2 linked regions of the Saccharomyces cerevisiae S288C genome follow. The protein of the gene in region 1 interacts with the protein of each later gene in a biochemical or structural test. Each region holds a gene or a part of one and is shown in the gene's direction. Other genes may lie near its edges.

Region 1 (7,043 bases):
AAGAACCAGGACCTGGGCATGCATGTTCCACAACATCTTCTCTTTCTTCTTCAGTGAATTGCTTGGAAATATATTCACCGTAGGATTGGAACGCAGAGACGATATCGATGTTTTTAGAGATCTTCGAAGAACCACATGTTGGATGACCGGGCAAGATAGTACCACCATATACCATGATGGAAGGTCTGTTATGTCTACCCATGGCCATCATGACACCGGGCATGTTTTTGTCACATGATGGGATGGCGATGTTAGCATCGTAGTGTTGTGCCATCATGATGGTTTCAAAGGAGTCTGCAATGATTTCTCTACTTTGTAACGAGTATCTCATACCTTTAGTACCCATAGAGATACCGTCTGAAACACCGATGGTGTTGAACTGCATAGCTTTCAAACCCGCTTTTTCAATGGATTGAGAACATCTGTTATTCAAGTCCAATAGATGCATGTTACATGGGTTACCGGACCACCAACAGGAACCAACCCCGACTTGAGGCTTCTTGAAATCTTCCTTCTTGAAACCGGTGGCATAAAGCATGGCCTGGGACGCACCTTGGCCCTTAGGTTCAGTGATGATATACGAGTACTTGTTGAGCTTCTTTGCAACGCATCTCGTTGTAGAGAATTGTCTAGATGTAGCAACTTTCGTTAACAAGCCCATCTCTACTTTTTTCTTGGCTGTTTACAAAAAAATACAAGAATCCGTTACTAAAGATTACAGGCGCTACAATGCATAATAAAACTTCAGTCTCTTCTTTTGTTACATTATATAATATACTACTATATTACTGAGTCATCTGGAGAGGAAAAGAGAAAATTTTTTTTCAGGCCCGGTTCCGCTCGCAGCGAAGAACAGCGCCATTTAACTATGTGACTAGTTAATTTTTTTTCTTTTCATGGGTTCAGCGAGGACGGAATGGATACAAGAGGGAATAAGAACATAAAAAGGTGAGGTGGAGAAGCAAATGCCAACCTAACCTACCCGCTTGATCACATGAACACCGCTTCCTGATTCAACGATATCGCTTACCTCGCCGACCTTGAGCTGGAAGGCAGCGTCTTCAAAGCTAGGCTGCATCTCGCCTCTCCCGAACCAGCCGAGGTCGCCGCCTCGCTTGTATGAAGAGCAATCTGATCTCTCTTTAGCCAGGGCCTCGAAGGAGTTCGTCTTAGAGTCGTCATCCAACCTCGTGATTAAGGTTTTCAGTTCGTCCGTAGCGTCTTGCTTGGATATCGTAATGTTCTCGGATCTATGCGATGCGGGTCTTCTTGAATCCTTGTGCTTGATGAGAATGTGCAGGCATCTTACACGCACTGGATGGTCTCTTAAGTGCTTGTGTAGCTGGTCCTTGTTGGTGCCCTCAGGCTCCTCCCATTGCGAGTGCTTCGTCTCTGGATTGAAAAAATACTCTCTTTTCTTGGACTTACTATACCTGACGGTCCACGGGGTTGGCAGCCCGGTCCTCGATGCTACGTCAGATGGCATTGGTGCGTCGTTGTGGTGCCGTAGTCGGTTATGCGTGGGAATAAGTACCACAATGATCATTCAGGTCCTTTTTCTACTTAGATCGAAGGGAAAAAGGTATGATACCCGCTCGTGAAAGGTGATGTAATAATAAATAGGATATTATTATATAATATAAGAATATATATGTATGTGTTTATACGTGGGAGGGAATTGTCCTCAGAACTTGGCTCGAATGTCTCGTTCTGACCCGTAGACAACGTAGCCCTCCTGAGAGACGCTTGCCATGATGCGTCCCGACTGTGTGTCGAAATACTTGCCCTGTACGAGGTGCTTGTCCCAGTGGGACCTGGGATTCGAAATCTTAAGATAGATCCAATTGTTCACATGAGGCAACTGGTGAAAGTAAATCGTGTGGTCGAGCGAGACACTGAAACTGTGGCAGTACAAAGGCAGGTTGTGGAAGTACGGGATCGTGAGTAGGAGGTAGGAATCGGACAGATACGCAAAGGCCACGTAGTTGTAGCGAGCGTCGTTCTCAGGAGTAATGCTCTTCGGGATCCTGTACGGATGATGCTTGTGTAAAGAAGACTCGTCGCCCGCGTGCTCCACGGTAGTGATGGGAGGTCTCACTTTGACGAAATAATCCAGCTCGTCGGTGTGTCTTGCCGAGTAGAACATGTCCTTGGGGAATTGGTACTCCATGACTCCGTATTGAAACGCATCCACATACTTGCTCATCGAGGTTGCGTCTTGGAACCTGTCGGACAATGAGGCATACCTGCTCAATTTCTGTGGGTCCAGAACTTCTTTCTGGAAAAGCGAAGTGGCCTCTTCATAACGATGAGGGTCTGGCTGCTTACCTTGCAGGCCTGGAATCGTCTCCCAGTGCTGCAAGGAGTCGTGCTCCTTGGACCGTTGCACGGCAAATAAGATCATCGACGTAAATATCAACTTGTCGTGCTGATAAGCACTAACCTGCTTATGGATGAAATTTCTACCGTTTCTCAGATTCTGCACATGGTACGTGATCTTGGTCCGCGGATCACCACCCTTGATGAAATACGAATGTAGCGATGTGGGGAAGAAGTTCAATGGCACAGTATGCAATGACGCCAGCAGCGATTGTGATACCAGCGTTCCACCAAAAGTGCCCTTAGACCCTACGGGCGCGGCAGGCAGATACTTTGTGACAAAACTGGTAGGCGAAAGAGGAACCAGTTCCAATATTTTCTCTAGGTTGGACATGGCCATTTTGGAAGCACTCATTTTTATGCAATCTTGTCTTATCTTGTCTTGCTCATGGTGGATACTGAATTGAAACCCTTTTCTGGTTTATATCCAACTGGCGTGGTTTTTCATTGTAGGATGAGGCTCGGTGTTTATGCCGTCTCTTCCGAGGATGCAATCAAAGGCTCTCTCCTTTGTTGGGGTAGTAGCAAGTCCAATAAGCAACGCTTGTTTGTTGATTGGGCCGATTTACATAGCCTATACACTGCTGTTACATATGCCTGTGTAGAATGAAAAAGCAGGACGCCCGTTTCACAGCTCAGATTCCAGAGTGTCGGGTCTTAGTTCCTCCCAGGGAATAATGGTCCTGGCCGCACGCTTCAGCCGATGGCTAGCGTCATCATTGTCTTCGCTATTGTGGTTTTGGCTGGTGGATAGGGTTGGGGAGCTGGATCTTCTGCGTTTCATGGACCTTGTGACCATCATTCTTGGTGGCGGCACGGACTTCTTACGCTGCTTATCGTGGGCTTCGTCCATATCGTGCAGGAGTGTGGTGCCATTCAGAGACACATCCGGGCGATCGTAGGCGTGATCTGCCTTTTCTCGAAACGCCATCTCTAGAGCAGTCTGGCGGGTTTGTAGACTGTGCATGTCTTTGGATAGAGACAGGAGCACTTTATGCACGTCCTCCAGTTGGCTGCCGACGTTGAAGAGCATCTCCTGGGTGCACCTCATCGACTTTTCCGTCTCATGCTGCTTGTTAGTTACGTGTCGCGTTATCTTGGAATTATACCTGCTTATTTCTTCGACTAATACCTGCCTGTAGCTGGAATCCGACTTTGTCTTCTTCTCGTCGCCTTTCGATAACATTGCTGTTGACACTTTGTCCAGTTGGTTTTCAATCTGGGAAGCCAAATCCTTTATTAAGGTTTTCACGTTTCCTATACTACAGTTGTTAGTAAATGTGTTTTGGAAGAAAATGAATAAAAAACTTGAGGGTATGCACTGTGTTGGTACGAACCGTTCGTAGCAGCATCTTGTTCCAGTAGCTGGTTAAACTTGTTTAGCGATTTACATAATGTCTTAGAATTTTCATTTAAAACTTTAATTAGCTTGTCAGAGTTTTCCCTCAGCTCCATACTCTCCAATTCCAGTTTACCTGCCCATTCCAGTATCTGCTTGTCCGATTCCTCTAAAGCGCCTGCATTCGCTACTTTCCCACTGTGGGAGAATATAGATCTGAACGGTGATGATGTTTCTGTAATCATCAACGAGTGTTCAGAATTAGCCTCTGAAACATCTGTAGATATCTCGTCTGTTCTACCTCTAGCGACCATTTTACTAAATGTTTCTACACGTCTGCAGTATCCTTGTTTTGCTTGTTTTCCTTCTTTCTGTTCTTGTTGATTTTCCCTTTAAGTCCTGAAAATACTATCATGGCGTAAAGGGAAAAAAAAAAACTAATCTTACGTGGTTCTTATAAGATGGACCAGCAAGCTGCATACAGTACACCATACAAGAAGAACACACTATCGTGCACCATGTCAGCCACCTTGAAAGACTACTTAAATAAAAGAGTTGTTATAATCAAAGTTGACGGCGAATGCCTCATAGCAAGCCTAAACGGCTTCGACAAAAATACTAATCTATTCATAACCAATGTTTTCAACCGCATAAGCAAGGAATTCATCTGCAAGGCACAGTTACTTCGAGGCAGCGAGATTGCTCTTGTTGGCCTCATAGATGCAGAAAATGATGACAGTCTAGCTCCTATAGACGAAAAGAAGGTCCCAATGCTAAAGGACACCAAGAATAAAATCGAAAATGAGCATGTAATATGGGAAAAAGTGTACGAATCAAAGACAAAATAATATAGTTGCAATAATAGTAATAATAATAATAATAATAATAATAATAATAATAATAATAATAATAATACCATGTATAGAAGTATATAAATCATACAATAAATTTAAGCATTAACCCGTCACGGACTGGCCATCTTCAGATGCTTCTTCTCTTCGCCAATGCCACAGTCGGGAGGAATCCCCATTTGGTACATCTTTATGGCCAGCTCCATCAAATAATCGATGGCTTCGTTGAAAATTTTGGCCTTATCGATTGTCGGACCCCAAACAAAAATGCCATGTCTCCTCACAATTACGGCGCATGTGTCTGGATAATCTTTAAAAGTCTTGTGCAAGTCATCGATCAACTCGTCCTCATGCGCCATGTTTTCAATGATGGGAATCTTCAGCGTATCAAAAAACGATAGCGCCATGGGTTTCTTGGTCACAGGGTCCACCTTTCCGCTTGGAATTGCTTTGATTTGTTCGATGTTAGCAATCCTGAACTCATCGCCAAATAGCAAGGAGCATATCACAGCATTTTGGGAGTGTGTATGTATTATAGCACCTGCATTTTTCTTTTGGTAGCACGCTAAGAACAATGGAGTACATGCGCTTGGCTTGTAAAGCTTGGGAGAGCGCAAATACTCTAATGTCTGAGCGTCCATGACAAACAAATCCTCAGGTATCATCTTCTCCTTCTGCACCCCAGATGGGGCGAGATAATAATAATTCGTGTTAGGATCTTTTATTGAAATCCCACCTCCAGTTCCGGTGCACCAATTATTATGAAAAAACTGCTTGCATAGCGTGCAAATGAGATTTGCTGGATGGCACGGATCATCTGAATGTATCAGAACATCTTGTGAAGACATAGTCGTTCACTGGCTCCCCTTGTTAGTTCAGTGCTTAAAAACGTTACATATCTTGATGAACAGCTAGCTGCTTTGATCAAGAGAAAAAAAAAAAAAATTGGCACCGCATCTTAGTGCCGCAATCTTACGTAACAAGAGAGCTATAAAAGTACAACTAACAACTCTTCTAATACTTAATTAGATTGAGGGCGTGCGTAGTTTAACGTCTTGCAATGGAAACATGTCCTCTTTTCGACATCATTTTCAAAATCTAAAATGGCTTCTTTCACTTGGGTACCTAAGTCTAACATTTGCAGTTCACTCTCGTGGACCACTTGGCGACAATGAGAACAGTACCACCTTATCTTATCGTTTTCTCCCCCAGGCCTATCTTGTTCCACAACAATACCCACAGTATCAGCAAACCGAACAGGACTGTGAGGAACATTTCCTGGCAATAAATATGAATCGCCTTCATTGATGATGATATCAATGAACTTTGGTTCAGCGTCTGTCTCATCCACAACCTTTAAAAGCATAGATCCTTTTTTTTGATAGAACCATTCGGGAGTTGGATTGATGTGATAACCGGTTCTTTCATTAGGCCCACCGACAATCATCACAGTGAATCCCCCTTTATGTAAGCAATAATTATTCACCGGTGGTTTCAAAAGGCCTTCGTTCTCCTTCAACCATTTGTCGATATTAATTGGTGTAGTATTAAACATTTTTTTCGATTTTTTTGGTAAATGTATGCTATTTCAGTTACTTGTAGACTGTCGTGAAAAGAATAAAGAAAGAATCTTTTACGTCCGTTTTTTTACTTTGCCGAATATGTTTCAGTGACTCACAATTTATCCTGACGCCGTCACAAAGGCAGCCATTCCATTGCAATAACGACACTCTGAATATTCACGAACGTTCACCAGACATTTGGAGGCAGCGTTCTAAATGCCGATACCCGTTCAGGAGTACAGGTGTCAGTGACAGAAAAATAATGGCACCGTTGACGTCGAAAATACATCCGCGCAAATTTTGACAGGCTATTTTGGCAGCGCAATCAAAGAATAAACTTGGTATAGTAAGGAAGCCAGTTACTGTACGCATGAATTACGGTAGCTTTTTTTATTTTATTTATTTTTTTTTTTTTTGGACAAATAGAAAAATTTTTATTATTATGTAAGATTATTGAAGTAAAAATACAATTGGACGAATCTAGTTAGATTGCCAAGATGTGTTAAAAGGCAAGATTAACTTATGAACATGATCTACAACGTCCTGGTTTTTAAATTCGAGTAAATACGCCTCCTTTTTATCTGTGAATGACAGTCCTGTTCTCCCAAGTCTTTTTACATCATGGAGACGGGAGTTATACTCTCTCGGGTACAAGGTTCCTTCAGCATCAGAACAGATCACAAACTTTATCGCAACAACAATTCCTTTATATTCCTGGGAAAATATGTCGGTATAGCCTACTCGAGACGGCTTCCAAACATCAGCTTTCGTTTTAACATGTTGCTGTTGGAATAAAAATCCACTATCGTCTATCAACTAATAGTTATATTATCAATATATTATCATATACGGTGTTAAGATGATGACATAAGTTATGAGAAGCTGTCATCGAAGTTAGAGGAAGCTGAAACG
Region 2 (7,283 bases), on another chromosome or scaffold:
TTAGATAGGCAAGAAGTGATTCATGAATCTGATCCGGAAAGAACAAGTGCTACCCAATCTGTTTCAAAGAGATACAACGTTCCTGTGCTAAGTATTGTATCACTGACTCAAGTGGTACAATTTATGGGAAATAGACTATCACCAGAGCAAAAATCAGCGATTGAAAACTACCGTAAGGCCTATGGTATATGAACTATAGAACTGACATGGACCATTTGATTATCATTGTTTGTATAGGAAAGAATAAATTTTTCTTGTATTCTTTTTTAATCAGTATACGTAAATAGCTTTTTATTGTTGGAGTTACGTGAGTTCTCGCATAGTAATTCATCAACTATTAGTGTCTTTTAAGGTTTCTTACTTTTCTTTTTGTCATGCTTCACTTGAGAGGATTTCTACTACTTTCCATAATTTTTCACTAAAATATTTTTCTTCTACAAAATAAACAAAAAGGCCTTTCGTGTTTGAAGATTACTCAGATGCAAGAATCACACTCAAGTTTAGCCATAAAGGGTGAAAATATTGATGTGTCGGCGGTTTTTTCTCTCTAGACATTTAACAGTTGCATTATAAAACTGTGCTGATTTCGGGACGACGAAATATATTTGAGAACAAACATTACGTGGGGTTTTGATGAGTGATCTTGACGAAGAAAGTCAAATTGAAACTCAGATCGATGCTCCTATCGAAGATATTATACGAGGATCTGAGCTTACCACTACAACCGCTGATAAAGAGACTTTGAAATCTGCAAATGAATTATTAGATTCTCTAGAACACTCGCACAGAGTCGACCTTTCGTTGCATTTATACTCTGCGTACCTCTTGAAAAGACTATTGTATAAGGCAAATGAAAAAAAACATTTTTATGAAGTAAACCAGTTTGTGAAGACCCAAATTAAGGATAACTGGACGAGCTGGCCTAATCCCAATACAATTATTGACCCTAGTGTAGACAAATTGTATGAAGATATACCGGAAGGTATTGCAAATGTAAGCGTACAGCCGGGGGAGATCTCAAATAGGGCTTTAATGCACGCCTCTGATATGATGAGGGTTGAGCTGGATGCTCAATGGCAAAAATTTCTCTCTAAGTCTGCCTTGGACCATGATGTAACTCTAGATGTGGATGAATTGAACATTCCAAACGAAATATCCCGGAATATCTTAGTTAAACTGGACAGCTTATTCGAAGGGTTGCATGATAAAATAGCCAAAGAGAACGAATTCGATGTAAGGCAAGATAAGCATTCTAATAATATAAGGGCGAATCAGATAGACGACGAGCCCATGCAGGCCAATCGACGAATTAAATACACATATCATGACTTGGTTTCAAGAGGTTGTGAAATGAACGAGGATATGACGGATATCTACATGAAATCATTAGAGCTATATAACGATATCCCAGAAAAGTATAAAAAGAGAAAATTCAGACTGCCCAAACAAATTCTAAAAAAGTATCACCAGCCAAAAAAGACCAGTTCATACTTAAAGGAGCTATTAAGTAAAACAAGAGAAGATTTCATACCTGTGGAAAAGTTATTGAAGGATAAACGGTTGACATCAAAGGACAAATCCAAGCTACAACGCTTAAATCGTGAAGAGACGGAAGATGCTCTAAACAAAAGAACATTTTTTCAGGTAAAGGGCTACTTAGAGGATGAGAATGAGATCTCTGATTACGAGTTGGACGACTGCCTCATAGAACTGCCTAATGGGAACATATGAATGAGAAAATCTTTTTTTTACCTTTTTCCATTAAGAAATATTCATCTCCTTTTAAGATCAACATATGTAACAATAAATATACTCTTTTAAAGATGTTCTTTTAATTTACTTACTGAAATTTAATATTAATAAAAGTTCGAAAACAAAGACTAAATACAAAAATAAAAAGATCATAAATTCAAACTTTTAAGAATGTCTTTTACGGATACATATTTACATATTAGACTATGATAATCATATATGCTCCTTTCTATCTCTTCTTGCTGAACTTTCTTCCTTTTTATGTTTTTTTGACTTTTTGGATTTTTTATGCTTCGATTTATCACCTTCATCGCTGCTATGCTTACTTTTCTTTCCTTTTTTACTCTCCTTCTTGCTTTTCTTCTTCTTCTTCTTCTTACTCTCACTGTCGTTACTAGTCTTTTTATCTTTTTTCAATTTTTTTCTCTTGACCTTGTTATCATCTTCATCACGCCTTCTTCTCTTCTTCCCTTTACTCGAACTTGCACTAGATACAACAAAGCTGGCTTCCTCCTTTTTACCAAGATTAGTAATGGTTCCTTTCAGCCCTTCTCCCTTTACAAACCACCTGTATAGAGGTGAGCTACTTTTCGATACAGCAGTAGCAACTGCCTCATTTTGAGTAAATTTAATACTGCCATTATTCGAATCAGTGCTTACATCCAGGTTCTTCAGATGTCCATCAAATAGCCTTTCCCACCATGCTTCGCCATCATTCCCGCCAGGAGCATTACCCAATCCCTTCTTATCTCTCTTGTGCTTTACCAGTATGGGTCTTTTCAAACCACCTTCTCTAAACGCTTCTCCTTCTTTCCAACCATATGATATCAGATATTCTTTGCTATCCATGTCCGATTTATTCTGATAATATTTCCGCTTGTATCATTCAATTTTCTATGTACATCATGACAATGAATTGTAGAGTGCATCAATGTCTTTTTTAAAGTCATCGCTAAAAAATTTTCAGGCGGGAACTTATTCAAAATGGCAGATTTACTACAACATTGAAAACCCTTTATATTTATTATATGAGAATCATTAGCGATAAACAAGCCCACATATTCACTTCATAATCTGTGATAATGGAGTATGGACATCACGCTAGACCAGATTCAAAACGACCATTGGATGAAGGATCACCAGCAGCCGCAGGATTAACTTCTAAGAAGGCGAACGAAGCTTTAACAAGAAATAGAGAATTAACAACTGTATTAGTCAAAAATTTGCCTAAGAGCTATAATCAAAACAAAGTCTATAAGTACTTCAAACATTGTGGGCCCATTATACACGTTGATGTTGCGGATTCGCTGAAGAAGAACTTTCGTTTTGCACGTATTGAATTTGCCAGGTATGATGGAGCCCTCGCTGCAATAACCAAAACACACAAAGTTGTAGGTCAGAATGAAATTATAGTATCTCATTTAACAGAATGCACATTATGGATGACGAATTTCCCCCCAAGTTATACTCAAAGAAATATTAGAGATCTATTGCAAGATATTAACGTTGTTGCACTCAGTATACGGCTTCCCAGTTTACGATTCAATACAAGCAGAAGGTTCGCTTACATCGATGTTACTTCTAAAGAGGATGCAAGATATTGTGTAGAAAAATTGAATGGACTCAAAATAGAAGGTTATACTTTAGTTACTAAAGTTTCCAATCCGCTGGAAAAGTCGAAACGGACCGATTCTGCCACACTAGAGGGGCGAGAGATTATGATACGAAACCTAAGTACAGAATTGCTCGACGAAAACCTTCTGAGGGAATCTTTTGAGGGATTTGGTTCCATTGAAAAAATCAACATACCTGCTGGACAGAAAGAGCACAGTTTCAATAACTGTTGTGCATTTATGGTTTTTGAAAATAAAGATTCTGCTGAAAGGGCACTTCAAATGAATAGAAGTTTGTTAGGTAATAGGGAAATTTCCGTTTCCTTGGCTGATAAAAAACCATTCTTAGAAAGAAACGAAGTCAAAAGACTTCTCGCATCGCGTAACAGCAAAGAACTAGAAACACTAATATGCTTATTTCCACTTTCAGATAAGGTGTCACCAAGCTTAATCTGCCAATTTCTTCAGGAAGAAATACACATCAATGAAAAAGATATTAGGAAAATACTTCTCGTTAGCGACTTCAATGGCGCCATTATTATATTTAGAGATAGTAAGTTTGCAGCAAAAATGCTAATGATACTAAATGGATCTCAATTTCAGGGAAAGGTGATACGTTCAGGTACTATTAATGACATGAAAAGATATTATAACAATCAACAGAATCACAGCATGAAACACGTCAAACCTAGTTGTATAAACATGATGGAAAAAGGACCAAATCTTCAAGTAAAGAAAAAAATTCCTGACAAACAAGAGCAGATGTCCAACGACGATTTTCGCAAGATGTTTCTAGGTGAGTAGACTAACCGAACCGGAGAAAGACGAACTTCTAATAGGATGTCATTTTAGCAGTGAATATAAACCCAAGTTTCTTTCCAAACGTTCACATACATCAAGCAGCCAACATTCGAGAGAGCAGAGATTACGTAATTATATACAAGGAACCTTTATCTAAACATTTTCTTCGAAGGTATTATTTTCATATTAAACGTAATACCATTTTTGCACCTCAGGCGGTATTTGAGAAGGGGGTTTAACACTATCTTCAAGTGTGACACCATTACCAGCCCTTTCTGTATTAGGCAGGTTGTCATACTTCTCCTGGAGTGATCCTGAAATGAGGTTTTTCCACGAATTGTGACATTTCTTTATAGTTTGGATGGTTTTATTGGAATTTTGATACTGTTCATGAAAGGCGAAACTATTTAATGGCTTCCCTGCTGGAACTTTATACTTTCTAAACCACTCCCTAGTCGTATCTAGAATCCCAGGAAAGTACTCCTCAATTTTTTCCAAGTCATCTATTTTAGAGGATAAAGGATCATTTACGTCGATCACTATGACCTTCCAATCCAATTCTCCATCATCAATTAAAGCGAGTGATCCTAATACCTTGACCTTTTTAATGGAACCCATTTCCAAAACATCCGAACCGATTTCGCAACAATCAAGAGGATCATTGTCACCTTTCAAAGCCACGTCACACTTCCCCAGTTTATGTTCAATTGTGGGATCTTCCCATGTTTGGGGAATAGCACCATAGTTGTGTATATAGCCGTGATAGGGAAAGATATTGTTCACGAACCTAAGCTTGCCATTCTTCGTATCTTGAACGATCGGATTGAACCTAAGTTCTTTGGATATTTCAAATTTTCCAGTTGTCCATCTTGGTACTTCAACAATCATATTTACGGTCTTTTCATGTTCATTCAAATCTAAAGGGACATCATGGAAAAAAGAACCAACCTCTCCATTTAATAATGTCAAGTATTTCTTAAACCCGAGGGTATATTTGCTGCCTTGTTGAATGGTGCTGAATTGTCTATGATTACGAATGGATAAAATATTCAATGTTTGTTTTAACCGTTCTATTGACCTAGCCTTGCTTGTTAAAGCATTCATTCGTAATAAATTCATGTTTTTCAGTAACTTCTCTAGAAGGGAATTTGCTTTTCACGCATACAAGCGAATCAAAGTTTCCAATTGAATGTACTCCCTATTAGTGCTGGTTAAATTAGCTGACTGCTCCGTATTACTGTGCGGAGTTCCTTTTATCCAATATTCAAACCTCATAGATTGCCAAAAACAAAAAAACTTTGCATAAAAAAAAACAAAAAGGGTTACTATACACGATGAATGATTAGACTATACACTATTATATAAGAAATGATTAGAATCATATTTTAAATGTATTAAAAGAATATATGCACGTCCTTTTCCTCTCCTTTTCTTAGTAAAATTACAATTCAACCATCAGAGGATAACAGCTAAACAAATAGGAATAGATAATTTCTGATAATGTTTAACCTTTAGACTGCCGAACGACTCTCTTCTTCCTTATACTTTGGGTCCGCAAATGGATTATTTTCCTTACTAGCTGTGTCAAATTCGCCATTTGCTTCACCATTTGCTTCGTCTTTAACATCATTATATGGTGGTGGTACGTCACGCAGAGTAAATTTCAAATTCTCATCGATGGTAGCATTTTCATCGTTCATTTCAACAACGCCAGAAACGTCTGAAATCAACAATTTGGAAAATCCAAAAGGATCGCGAGGAATCCACAATTCGGGGCATTGTGCACTAACAGCTGGATAATCGTAAGCATGAGAGATATCGAAATCATTGACTCTTTCATCAGGATCAACCAAACCATATATTTCTGGCAGTCTGCTCTTTACAGCCTTATAGGAGTAGTAAATGTGAGGTTTTAAGAATCTCTTCCACCATGGAGCCGGAGGAATTTTCATTGTATCACCATCTGCTAATAATGGCACGTCCTCAATTAAATTTTCTGCATTTATAGCGTGCCCATCTGCATTGGCTTCATTTGCTGGGTTGAATTGATATTCGAATGTATTTTCACTAAATATGCTATTTTCAACTTGTTGCTCAGTGACTGATTCACTCCTCTTGTGATATTTCTTTATTGGAAATTCAGGTAATTCTTTGATTCCGTCCATGTCAATATTTGCACCAAAAGTATTTTTCTTCACCTTTGTACTTTCTATGCCTTTATAAATATTTTTGAAAGAAGGTGTATCTGATACACCATCTAACGGTTTCATGGTATCAACGGGTATAACCTTTGATAAATGATCAAATGCAGCGCTCAAATGTAAATGAATAAGGACGGTAACACAAATTCCAATTACCTGTAAAACGATTGGGCCCCAACCTTTACCAACGGCAAAAAGACCTAATAGACATATCTGACCGATGTAGATACCAACTATAGTTTGGAAAAGAGCTCTTGGATAATAAATACCCCTTGCGTCGGGTGATTCCTGATAGACATAAGTCAAATTGTATAAATATGCAATATACAATAGGAAAAACGCGACGGCAGCAAATAATAAAATCAACGGAGAAATGATGGAGTAGGAGAAAGTAATAACTGCCAAGTTTGTATAAACTGGAAAAGCTGTCCCCCACTGCATACTGGATAGCCCACAAAAACGATTCCATTTCTTCCTAACGGTACCATCTAAAAAGGCACCTAAAACATAAAAGAGTATTAGTGGAACAATTTGCAAAAGAGCACCTGATGAAATGGACAGACCTTGTAGAATAACGTATGACATGAAAAAATTAGAAGCTTTTGGCAGATTAGAAGCCAGTAGATCCATAGCCTTCGTGGGCTCTTTAACAATTTCCGTTACTGTGGAAGTGGCGGCGGAGGATAGAGTGGTAACTAAAAAGACTTGGATAACTTGAAAGGCGAAATAAGCTTGTTGAGTGAAATATTCCACATTTTGCTTAGATGGAGCACCTTGAGTGATAGCCATACCCCTAATAAATTTCGGCAAGAAACTCATTAAAACGGCCAATGCCACAGTTGGGGCCAGAGATGTCAGTAAACCTAATAGTTGTTTTGGTAATTTATAGATGAACTTTAACCATTTAACTTCATTA

What was found. Proteins that work in one complex are often made in the same cells at the same time.
Region 2: the proteins of LSM8 (region 1) and PRP24 form a complex in vitro, tested with the Saccharomyces cerevisiae proteins (one study listed by BioGRID).

Annotation. Positions count from the first base shown.
Region 1 is NC_001142.9:465,548-472,590, forward strand, and holds LSM8 (U4/U6-U5 snRNP complex subunit LSM8), read left to right. Parts: upstream 1-4,236; coding exon 4,237-4,566; downstream 4,567-7,043. Other genes in the region: dihydroxy-acid dehydratase ILV3, read right to left, coding at 1-661; peptidylprolyl isomerase ESS1, read right to left, coding at 974-1,486; TES1 (palmitoyl-CoA hydrolase), read right to left, coding at 1,685-2,734; REC107 (Rec107p), read right to left, coding at 3,008-3,636, 3,717-4,032; methylthioribulose 1-phosphate dehydratase MDE1, read right to left, coding at 4,683-5,417; BNA1 (3-hydroxyanthranilate 3,4-dioxygenase), read right to left, coding at 5,591-6,124. UniProt on the Saccharomyces cerevisiae protein: Component of the nuclear LSM2-LSM8 complex, which is involved in spliceosome assembly. The LSM2-LSM8 complex plays a role in the biogenesis of the spliceosomal U4/U6-U5 tri-snRNP complex by accelerating PRP24-mediated annealing of U4/U6 di-snRNA.
Region 2 is NC_001145.3:799,774-807,056, reverse strand, and holds PRP24 (U6 snRNP complex subunit PRP24), read left to right. Parts: upstream 1-2,834; coding exon 2,835-4,169; downstream 4,170-7,283. Other genes in the region: orotate phosphoribosyltransferase URA10, read left to right, coding at 1-192; RRN9 (Rrn9p), read left to right, coding at 634-1,731; TMA23 (Tma23p), read right to left, coding at 1,966-2,601; inorganic diphosphatase PPA2, read right to left, coding at 4,353-5,285; RSN1 (Rsn1p), read right to left, coding at 5,678-7,283. UniProt on the Saccharomyces cerevisiae protein: Functions as a recycling factor of the spliceosome, a machinery that forms on each precursor-messenger RNA (pre-mRNA) and catalyzes the removal of introns.